Callithrix jacchus: one gene and its partner. The protein of the gene in region 1 purifies or fractionates together with the protein of each later gene. This does not show direct contact. Links are inferred from orthologs where the notes say so. Each region holds a gene or a part of one and is shown on either strand. Other genes may lie near its edges.

What was found.
Region 2: the proteins of DEPTOR (region 1) and FBXW11 purify together in Homo sapiens (affinity purification with western blotting; 4 studies listed by BioGRID, with this or other methods). This does not show direct contact. The link is inferred for Callithrix jacchus from reciprocal best matches to the Homo sapiens genes DEPTOR and FBXW11.

What each region holds. Positions count from the first base shown.
Region 1 is NC_133517.1:77,364,029-77,369,353, forward strand, and holds part of DEPTOR (DEP domain-containing mTOR-interacting protein), read right to left. Parts: intron 3,785-5,325; coding exon 3,656-3,784; 3' UTR 1-3,655. UniProt on the Homo sapiens protein: Negative regulator of the mTORC1 and mTORC2 complexes: inhibits the protein kinase activity of MTOR, thereby inactivating both complexes. DEPTOR inhibits mTORC1 and mTORC2 to induce autophagy.
Region 2 is NC_133503.1:64,277,877-64,283,655, reverse strand, and holds the start of FBXW11 (F-box/WD repeat-containing protein 11), read left to right. Parts: upstream 1-1,810; 5' UTR 1,811-1,945; coding exon 1,946-1,990; intron 1,991-5,779.

The DNA.
Region 1 (5,325 bases):
AAAGATGGGAGTTTCACTGTGCTGCCTAGGCTGGTCTCAAATTCCAGGGCTTAAGTAATCCTACCATCTCAGCCTCCCAAAATGCTGGCATTACAGGTATGAGCCACTGCACCCAGCCTAAAATAGGACTTAAAGCAGATTACTTATACCCCATATTTGAAAGAAAAGAGTATTTGGAAATGTAAGATATAGATCTGAACTGAAATCATTTTTAATATTAATTCCTGTCTCTCCAATGCAGCCACCTTTTATATGATAGTGTGAAGCTGATCACATCTAATCTATGCAAAGATGGGTATCTTCTTCATGTTATCCACCATTTCTCAACTAGTCTCTATATTAATTTACACAATTATTTAACAAAGATTGATAACACATCAGACAATAGAATCAATCCAAAAGGCAATAGCACTTCTTTCTACCAGGGAACATGGCTTTCAATTTGTGCATCCTATGCTAATATGCTAACGAAGAAACAAAAACTACTTTCATCTCTGTAGCAAAAACATAAACATAAATGCCTGGAAAATCATCATGCTGGCCAGGCTAGTCTCAAACTCCTGACCTCAAGTGATCCACCTGCCTCGGTCTCCCAAAGCACTGGAATTACAAGCTTGAGCCACTGCACTTGACTGGGTTTTCTTCTTTTTTATGTATTTACTTATTTATTGATTGATTTTTTGAGTCAGAGTCTCTCTCTGTTGCCCAGGCTGGAGTACAGTGGCTTGATCTCTGCTCACAGCAGCTTCCACCTCATTGGTTCAAGTGATTCTCCCACCTCAGCCTCTCGAGTAGCTGGGATTACAGGTGCACGCCACCACACCCAGCTGATTTTTCTGTTTTTTATTAGAGATGGGATTTCATCATGTTGGCCAGGCTGGTCTTGAACTCCTGGCCACAAGTGATCTGCCTGCCTTGGCCTCCCAAAGTGCTAGGATTACAGGCACCAGCCACTGTGCCCCACCCTTGAGGTGGGTTTTTAGACAACAATGGAGAGCTGACACACTGCTCTGTGGCAGGAATTGTGCTAGGTGAAGAGAATACCCTGGATAGTAAGACAGCCCCTGCTCTGAAGATACTTAGAGTCTACTTAAGCAAATAGACAGTAACAGGGAAATTTCAAAGTAAATGTCATCAGTGCTCTAACGGGGCACGGGGAGGACTTCAGGATCCATGGGAATTTAGAAAAGAGGCATCAATCCTAGAACTGGGGAGCTGGTGCAGGCTTCTCAGAGGAGATAATTTCTAAAGGGAATTTATATGAAGAAAGAGTTTTCCAGGCAACAGTAAGACAGAATGTTCTTCTTTCCACAAAGAAGAAAGTACATGTGCAAAGGCTGGAGGGAGTGAGATAGGGCCCCCGGGGAAGCAGGTGTAGTCATTTTAATTGCTGTGTAAAGATATAAGGGGTGGGCTGGAGGAATAACTAAGGGAAATCTCTTATGGCCTTAAGAGATTCCCTGGAATTTGGCCTTTAAACCTAGGGTGATGGGAACCAAAGAAGGAAATCCTCCCTCCCTTCTTTCCTTCCTTCCTCACGGGCAAGAGGAGGTTGTGTGCAATAGACACAGAGGGATGCTGCTCTGGTGCTTAGGTTGGCTAAAGGGAAGTTCTATTATGCCAGGGTCCAAGATAATGGGTAAAGCAGGCAAGAAGAAGATGCCATTTCTGGAAAGGCGTTCCTTCTTCTTTTGTCACTTAATGAATACCTGAGGACAGAAAGCAGTTAAGACTCATCTTTTAAAGATGCTATAAATTTTTTAAAGCCAGTGGTAAGGTTTCCCACTTCATTAGTTTTGTGGCCTTGGGCATATGACTAACCACTTTACGAGTCAGTTTCCTCATTTGTGGAGATAATGACCATATCGACTTCACAGGCCAATAAGGACAAATGGCAGAAAGTCTTAGCACAGAGCCTGGCTCAGAATAAACCCTCAATGTAAGGTCCTTAAATGGGGAAAGGCTGAGGGGAGTAACATGGGATTTAGCATTAAACCTGTGTTTGCATTCAGCCTCCGTCACTGAGTACTGCTTGCAACTGTGTGAACTTAGAGACCATTTAAAAACTTGCTCAGACTTAGTTTCCACATCTGAAAAAATGTGGATGTTAATACCTACCTTGCAAGGTGGTGATGACGGTTAAAGAATATCATAGACATTAAATGCGCAGAGCCTGCCATATAGTACAAACGCACACCCACACAGAAGTGATAGTATTTCTCAAATGTATATCAACAGTATTACTGTTAGACATTCTCTGTCCCTCCAAAATCCTATTCTCTGACTAAAGCTACAAATCAGAAACGTTAGATTACCAGAAATATATATATCTATGTCCATAACATATTTAGCACAGTAGGTCCATTCCACCAGTACCTGTACATTATGATAACCTAATACAAAGAAATGGCTGTGGTATGACATTCATATTTTATTTTGTTAATGCATGATAAAAAAAATTAACCTCTTCATTCAGATCCCTTATTTGGAATGAAGAATTTAGTATTGCCTAACTCCCTAATTTGGCACTTCGAGGAATTTCCTCTGCACACCAAGCCCCGAAATGTACTATTTTCTAGACCAAAAATGAAAACATGCATATATACAAGTGAGCTAAAAAGTTACAATGCAAGATGGTCATTTTGGTGAAAAACAATTCCCCCAAATAAGCAGCATGTCATGTCCTTAGAATATGTTACACTAGAAAGCTAGTAAAAATTCAGGCTAAGGAGGCAATCTAGAGTTCAAGTTTTATCACATATCAGCAAAGTTTTAGACTTCGCTTAAAAACAGACACCTTCAAAGTGAAATCTTGCCAGAAGGGTTGATTTTTTTAATGACGTGTATATACAAACTTCTCTGTTTTAACATTCAACATATTCAAGATTAAATCTAGAAAGCTAATATACCTGATTTATAAAACAAAATGATTTTAGGCTCAGACAGAAAATAGGGACAATTTTGTGCAGTCTCTCCCTATCTACCCTCGCCCATAGCATCACCCAGTTTTTGTTTTTTTCGTTTTTTGTTGTGTTTTTGTTTTAGCTAATGCCACAATTGAAACCTGTACTAACTTAAAAGTTGACACTAAAGGCAGGAATTGAGAAATCAATTTTTATGGCTTTTAAGCACTTGAATGCTTTAGAATCCCCTTGAAAATGCTAGTGAACAGGTCTTATTCCTTTGGATGTTGTTTCAGTTTGAATCTTGGTGACATCTAGATTCCTTGTCAAATAGATCCGTGCTAATTTTGGAGAAAGTACAATTAAAAACCCTTAACGACTACTCTATTGACTCTGGAGAAGGGGACTTTAGCATGTTGCTGTTTGGACTAGAGAAGCATTTCAACACCTTTCTGCAAACTAAGATAAAAAACAACAAACAAGACCTACAAACAGAAATCTAGTAAGGCATTTCTACCATGTAGGAAAACTCTGTTTCCCAAATGTTTTCTACACTGACATCTTATTAAAAAGATATGTTACCCGGTTCTTCCACATTCAGTGTATAAAACTCAACTTTAGATGTGTGTGTGCGGAGAAGATTCATAGGACTGAAACCATCCATTTGCATGGAAATCTCATCATTGCATTGCTTTGTGTCATTCTGGCTTCGATCACCCACAGGCCGCTAGAGGGCTGGGAGGCCCAGGAACTCAGCACTCTAACTCCTCCATGACTTCCATGACAATTGTCCGTGGGCCCGTCAGGATCAGATTGCTCACGGTCCGGTAGTCTACGTGCAAGACATTAAGCCCATTGACAGAAACGACAAACTGACAGACCTAAAGGCAAAATGCAAAAAAAAAAGAGCGTCTGTTACAGCACCTGGTTTAAAACAGAGCTTTAATAAAGACACTGTGTAGCCCTAACAGGTAACTTCATTCTTAATATACCCAAATGCATCCAACTGATGACTCCAATTCAATAATTTCCAAGGAGCCACACTTTTTCTGGAAGGCAGTATAAGTTTTTTTAAATCATTTTAGTGTTTTACAATGGGCTTAAATCCTAACTCAGAAATTTACTGTCTTGAGCTACATATTTAAATTTCTGAGCTTTAGTTCCCTCAATCCTAAAATAGGAATTAATAATAATAATAGCGATAACTACCTTAAAAGAGTGTTGTAAGAATTAATGACATATAGAGTTCCTAATTGCAGTAATTCACAGGCACATTTGCTCGCAATTATTAATTATTAGTGTTGAGGACTCAACCAAAGAATGTTAAAAATACTAAAACACTTTGGAAGCCATCATTTCCTTTTATTATTTTCTATGTGGGTAATATCAGTATAAACTTAAACACATTATTAAATCCAAAAATAGCTATACCTATTACTTAGATGCAACAAAATTGGAGAGTATTGGAAAGAGTATTAGAACGCTGTCTCTGTGAAATCAAAGATACAGATTTAAGTTATAGGTCCCTTTGGTGGAATACCTTAATCAAGTAATTTCTCCTCTTCTATGTCTCAGTGATATGAATGTCTCATTTGTAAAACAGGTAAAAATGCCTATTCTCACAGGCTCAAACTAGATAACGCATTTAAAACCTCTTTGCAAACACCAAGTGCTACACTGATGCTGAGTTCTATTAATTGCTTTCCTTTGAAAAAATACTCACTTCCTTCATAGTCACAGGCAAAACAAAATGGAAAGTGGGCAGTAGTACATGGACTGGTTATGTACCCAATAAACACTTGCTGTTGTCATAAACCTCAACACTTTCCACTCCCCAACCTACATTACTAGCATGTTTTCTCTACATAAGATCACAACACTATTACTGTTTCTCTTTTCTTCGTTCCACAGATTTGTCCTCCTGGACTCAGGGCATATGTTATACAAAATCAGCAGTTTTTTCTTTTTTCAGATGGAGTCCCACCGTGTCACCTAGACTGGAGTGCAGTGGCACCATCTCAGCCCATCGCAACTTCCACCTCCCTGGTTCAGGCAATTCTCCTGCCTCCTGAGTAGTTGGGATTATAGGTGCCTGCCACCACACCTGGCTAATTTTTGAATTTTTAGTAGAGATGGGATTTCACCACGTTGGTTAGGCTGGTCTCAAAGTCCTGACCTCGTGATCCTCCCACCTCAGCCCCCAAAAGTGCTGGGATTACAGGAGTGAGCCACTACGCCCAGCCAAAATCAGCAGTTTTCAACTATGGCGGAGGTCTTAGTCATAATCAAGGTCACACTAGCAGGTCACAGTCTATCCTGGACTTGGCCACAGTAATTTGCAAGCCAATTTAGAGGTAATGTAGGCATCAGCTCAGGCTTTGTTTTTTCTGCTGCAGCAGATTCATGAGCCAAAGAATGAGAG
Region 2 (5,779 bases), on another chromosome or scaffold:
TTCCCCCATTTTTGAGACAAGGTCTGTCTCTATCGATCAGGCTGCAGTGCAGTGGTGCAATCTCCATTCACTGAAACCTCCACTTCCTGGGCTCAAGCGATCCTCCCACCTCAGCCTCCCAAGTGACTGCGACTACAGGCACATACCACCAGGCTCAGTTCATTTTTGTATTTTTTGTAGAGACGATGTTCGCCATGTTGCCCAGGCTAGTCTGGAACTTCTGGGCTCAAACAATTCGCCCGCCTTGGCCTCCCAAAGCGCTGGAATTACAGGCACGAGCCACTGTGCCCGGCCAGGCTGCTGTTTCTTTACCTGAACAGCTTTAGCCTTACAGGCATTCCCTTCCACTAGATAAGATGAACTGAGATGCTCAATCATGTAATGACCCTCTCTTCCTGACAGCATCTAATCCAGAGAAGCCCACACTTCCTTAAACCCTCTTCCGAATCATTAACTGTTACCCAGATGCCCCATCGTTCCTCAATGTGTGTTTTCAGTCACTGCAACTAGTAATAAACCCAGTTTGTTCAACGATCCGTGTGTTCCTGGTGGGATTTGGTTAAAGGGCATTGACAACCCTAAGTGGAGGCTGAGTTCACTAGAAGTCTCCGCTTGTGTGTTCCTTCTTAGCCACTATCACTCTTTTGGTTAATGTCTGTCGTCCCTCTACCAGAATTAAGCTCCATGAGAACAAGAGCCTTGTCTGTCATGTTCAGAGCTGATTCTCAGTGCCTAGAGCGGTACGAAGCAGAAGCTGGATGCTTAAAAAATAACCATTTCTGGGTCGGGCGCGGTGGCTCAAGCCTGTAATCCCAGCACTTTGGGAGGCCGAGGCGGGTGGATCACGAGGTCAAGACATCGAGACCATCCTGGTCAACATGGTGAAACCCCGTCTCTACTAAAAATACAAAAACTTAGCTGGGCATAATGGCGCGTGCCTGTAATCCCAGCTACTCAGGAAGCTGAGGTACCCAGGAGGCGGAGGTTGCGGTGAGCCGAGATCACGCCATGGCACTCCAGCCTGGGTAACATGAGCAAAACTCCGTCTCAAAAAACAAAACAAAACAAAACCATTTCTGAACGAATGAATGAGACGGACTCGATATACGCAGGTTCCCTTTAATCTTGCAGCTCCTTGCAGATTGTATGACATACACACACAGCACCACAGCCCATTTCCCAAAACTCCCTCTTTCCTGAAGAAATCTCCAAACTCTCAGGATGCCCATCTTCTCAGAGCCTCTTCCCTGGGCCAAGCTTCTCTCACTCGCTGGCCCCTTCCCACACCTGAGCCCCAGGCCCATACACCTACCTTCCTAACGCCCCTAGAACCCACCTGTCTCCACCATCTGCCCTTACTACCAGACGCTGGCAGACGGCAGCGCAGCTACCTAAGCGTCGAGTGGGCACTGCGGCATGGACCGCGCATGTGCGGAAATGGGTCGCACACGCAGGACCTCCGACTAGGGAGGAGTTGCCTCGGAGTTTCCGTCCCGGTCTGGGCAGCCTTGGGCTGCCAGGAAGTCAGGAGAGGCTACTAGGAAGTAGAACCTGGGCGCACGGCTTTCTGGGCCATGTAGTCGTGGCGCTCTCGAGGCCCTAATATGAGCACGCTCTTAACTCTTCAGGTTTACACGTCCTACATCCACAGTACAGTGCTACTCTCAGCTCGGAGTTCAGCTTCGGGTGCCTAGAACCAGCGGCCCGGTGTCGGCGGCTCGCTCCCACAACGCACTGCGGGCCGCGGCGCCTGCTGGGAGGTGTAGTTCTTGCTCTGCGTACTGCGTTCGCCGAGGGGGAGGGCGGAGCTGCCGGCGGCCCGGGCGGGCTGGCAGCTAGAGTGGGTGCGATAGCCGCCTACGCCTCTGCCGCCTCCGCCGTCGCCTCCTCCGCCCGGGCCGTTCGCTGCTGCGCGGGGAGAGCGAGGCGGGGCCGCCGGGCCGCCATGGAGCCCGACTCGGTGATTGAGGACAAGACCATCGAGCTCATGGTGAGTGCGGCCCACTGGACCGTCTGTGCTTCCGTCCGTCCGGCCCCGGACTGGCCTGCCCACTTCAACGTCCGGTGCGAGGCCGGCTCTGGCCCTTCCCCGCGGTCTCGGCCCAGACCCGGGCCCCTAGCCTTCTCTGGCTTCGGACTCGGCTCGGGTTCCTCCGATCTCTCGACATCTCAGGCCGGTCCTGGCCCGGCCCCTTCCATGCCCCTCGCTCGCTTCTCCCCCTCCCCCTGTCCCGTCTCCGGTCCCAGCTCTCGGACGACCCTCGCTCGTTTTTGCTGTAGAGTTAGGTCTCACTCGCTCTAGCACCCCATTCTCCTTCTTTTAGAAGGGGATTTTTTTTTTTTTTCTTTACTCTGTGTCTCCGGCCCAGGCCCGCACTGCGCTTGCAAGCCCCACTCAGGCCGAGTGTGGTGGTGGGAAGGAGTAGGGAGGAGATCGGTCGGGGCCGCCTGGGCCTCGGTGTCCTAGGAGGGGTTTCAGCACCCACTCCCCAGCCTAGGTCTGTGTGGATGCCAGGATAGGCCCTGCAGAGCTGGGGGGCAGGGAGCTCTCGGGTTTGAGGCTGTGGCGGATAAGGAGGCCTCTTTCCCGGGCCCTTGTGGTGTCCGGCTTCTCGGACAAAGGGTTTCCTACCCGGCGGAGAGGGATGTTTGCATAGCAAAGCCCCAGGTACTCTGGATTCCATACCCCAGGAAAGAGAAGCCGCAACTTCACGTTTTCCAGAGCTGCTTTCGGAAATTGGGGATGATGGGGGAGGGAACCATCCTCATCACTGCCGGGAGTTCTTTCTTCTCAGAAAGAAAAAAAAAAAAAAAAAAAAAAAAAAAAGGGGAATCCTTGGCCCCCGGGGGAAACGACCACTCTTCTGTTAGAAACCGATGGCAGCCAGGCCAGACTCCCCGGTCCGTGGACACCCTCTACCCTCTTCCGAAGCTTTAGGATTTGAAGCCAGAAGGGGTTTTTAGGAACAGGACCGTGAGAGAGTGGCTAGAAGTGAAGAATTTGCTAATTGGTGGATGATTTGGTGGAAGAAATAAAATATGGCAGATATTACCTGCCAATTTGAACATGAGGGAAATCAAACTGGGCTCTGGAGAGTTGGGAAGAGGAAGTCTGCATGAGCAAACGGACGTGTCCAGGATTTCTTTCTGTGGAAGCCTTGACAGTTTCTTTGTATCTGCCCTAACACGGTAACAATTTCCCCTTGGTTGAGAGGAGAGGTGGAAGAATCTACTTAACCCAGCAAAATGTTTTCCTAGCCAGATTTTCTTCAGTGTGAAAATGTTTATTGAGTCAGTGATTCCACTGGGTAGGGTTGGTGACATCAGAGCCACTTCCCCCATTTAACGCTATAAATAATAAATGGTGACACTGAAAGTCTGTTGGATAGCTGCATGGTTTCTGTGGATGATGGTATCTGGGGAGTGGAGATACTTGTTTTAAAAATGGAAGTACAGTAGCATAAATATGGAGGCAGCTTAATGTTTGCTGTCCTTTGCGTAATTCACAGAACTGGACTTCTCTAGCATTCTTGAAAACTAGGAGGAAAAAAAGGGAAACTGATAGTTTTTGATTTTTGTATGCATGTGTGTGTGCACGTGTGGTTGTTTTCAAAGGGATAATGTCACATGCTGAGTAATTTTTCCTTTTCAGCATAATTTATCATACTTGTAGTCAGTGTTTGCTATTCTGTAACTTTTGTAGTGGGTTATTTTGCTAAATATCTTAAATCGACTAAGTATATTACATATTCTTAAGAATGTTCATACAATACCTGTACTTACAACAGAAGTACTTCATATCGAAAAATTGTAACTTGGTGCCTCTTTGAAATTGGCTGTTCCCAGCTCCTTCTGTTTCTATTCTTTTTAAAAATAACTAAAATGTCTTTATTGTCAAAAGAATTGGGAGAAATACATTGTAACCCACATCAGTGTATGGTTACAAAATAAAAAAAATAAAAACCTTTGGCCTAAATGCATTGGCTTCCTATGTTTGTAACTTAAGTTTTGATTTGACATGATAGCACTTGGTTTTGATCTGAAAAGAGATTTCAGCCTGTTAAGGACATTATAAACGGGGATTTAAACTGGAATTCTTAGAAAATTTAATGGAGAGTTTAGTTATATTATGATTAATTTAAAAATGGGTTTTTATTTAAGGATTTTGATATTCCCTGAAAGGGATACCATTTGACTTTTAGACAGCCCTTATTGTAAATTAAGTTTATGTATTTATTTTAGTAAAATAGCAAAGGTGCTTAACAACTGATTAAGTAAATCCAGGATCAAATGTAGGAATGATAATGCCTTAGAATCTAATTGCATGTGGCTTTCTGTTTTCACTACATTTAAATGACAGTTTCCAGAACTGGGTTAAAAATGTTTTTTACATTGGTTTCAAAATAATACGATTGATAGAGATGGGGTTAAAATGATGGTGTTGTAAAAAAAAATGACCTTAGCATGAAATATTTTTAGATTTTTATGAGTCAACTTGAGTACTCAAATATTTGTGATTGTGCTGCTTGTACCAGTTTGGCACTTAATGGTTAACAAGATAACTTTCATTTTGTATTCCAAAATGTGCTGTACTAGAAAGAGGAAACAGACTTCTTGGTTATCTCCATTTTCTAATCTTCATCCTTCTACTTCCCTTGATATTAATTCTTCTGTCTTTCCTGGCATTTTTGATAAGTACATTAGGAAATAAAGCTGGTGATAGCAGAAGAATTAAATTTCCAAATATAACCCCCACGTTGACTCCTACCCCTGCCTGAGGCCTGGGTCCACAAAGGGTGTGTCTCCTACTGATCTGCTCTATAGGATCCAGATTTTAATGTTATTAAAGTCTATAAACTCTTAATTTAGACCGTGAACTTACTGATGATGAACTGATGGTAAAGAATTTAACCACCAGAAGACTTTTATGGCTTATATTGGCTCTGTACCTGTTAGTGGGCCTGTTTTTCCAGATTTCTTATCACTTTAGGAAAGGGGATCCTGCCTCCTCTAGGGATTGAGTGAATCTCCTCTTCCCTTTACACAATTAATGGATGGTTTGTAGTTAATTGTTAAATGACTTCCCTTTTTGCTGAATGACCTTAAGTGAGTCATTTCCCTTCTGTTTATCTCTTAAGTGGCTGTATTACTTGTTGAATGAAGTAAAATAGGTTAAAATACATTGATCCACTGGGCGCGGTAGCTCACGCCTGTAATCCCAGCACTTTGGGAGGCTGAGGCGGGCGGAACACTAGGTCAGGAGTTCGATACCAGCCTACCAACATGGTGAAACCCTGTCTCTAAAAATAAATAAATAAAAATACATTGATCCTTATTAAGAAGGTGTGGGCAGGTGCAGTGGCTCACACCTGTAATACCAGCACTTCAGGAGGTAGAAGGATTGCTTGAGCCTAGGAGTTTGACACCAGCCTAGGCAACATAGCAAGACCCTGTCTCTATAAAAAATAAAAAAAATTAGGCATGGTGGTGCACTCCTATAGTCCCTGCTACTCAGGAGCCTGAGGGGTGAGGATTGCTTGAGCCCAGGAGTTTGAGGAGATCTGGGATTTTGCCACTGTTCTCCAGCATGGGCAACAGAGCAAGACCCTCTGGGGCGGGGGAAGCAAATAAATGAAGTTATTGGAAATGGTCTTTTTTCTTTTTGGATCATTTTTTTTCTTTCTGTCATTGACTTTCTGAGAGGATAAGTGCGGCTGTTTAGTGATCAAGAAATTGGATATTACTTTGTCACCATCCTTATCCTCACATAGCACACCTC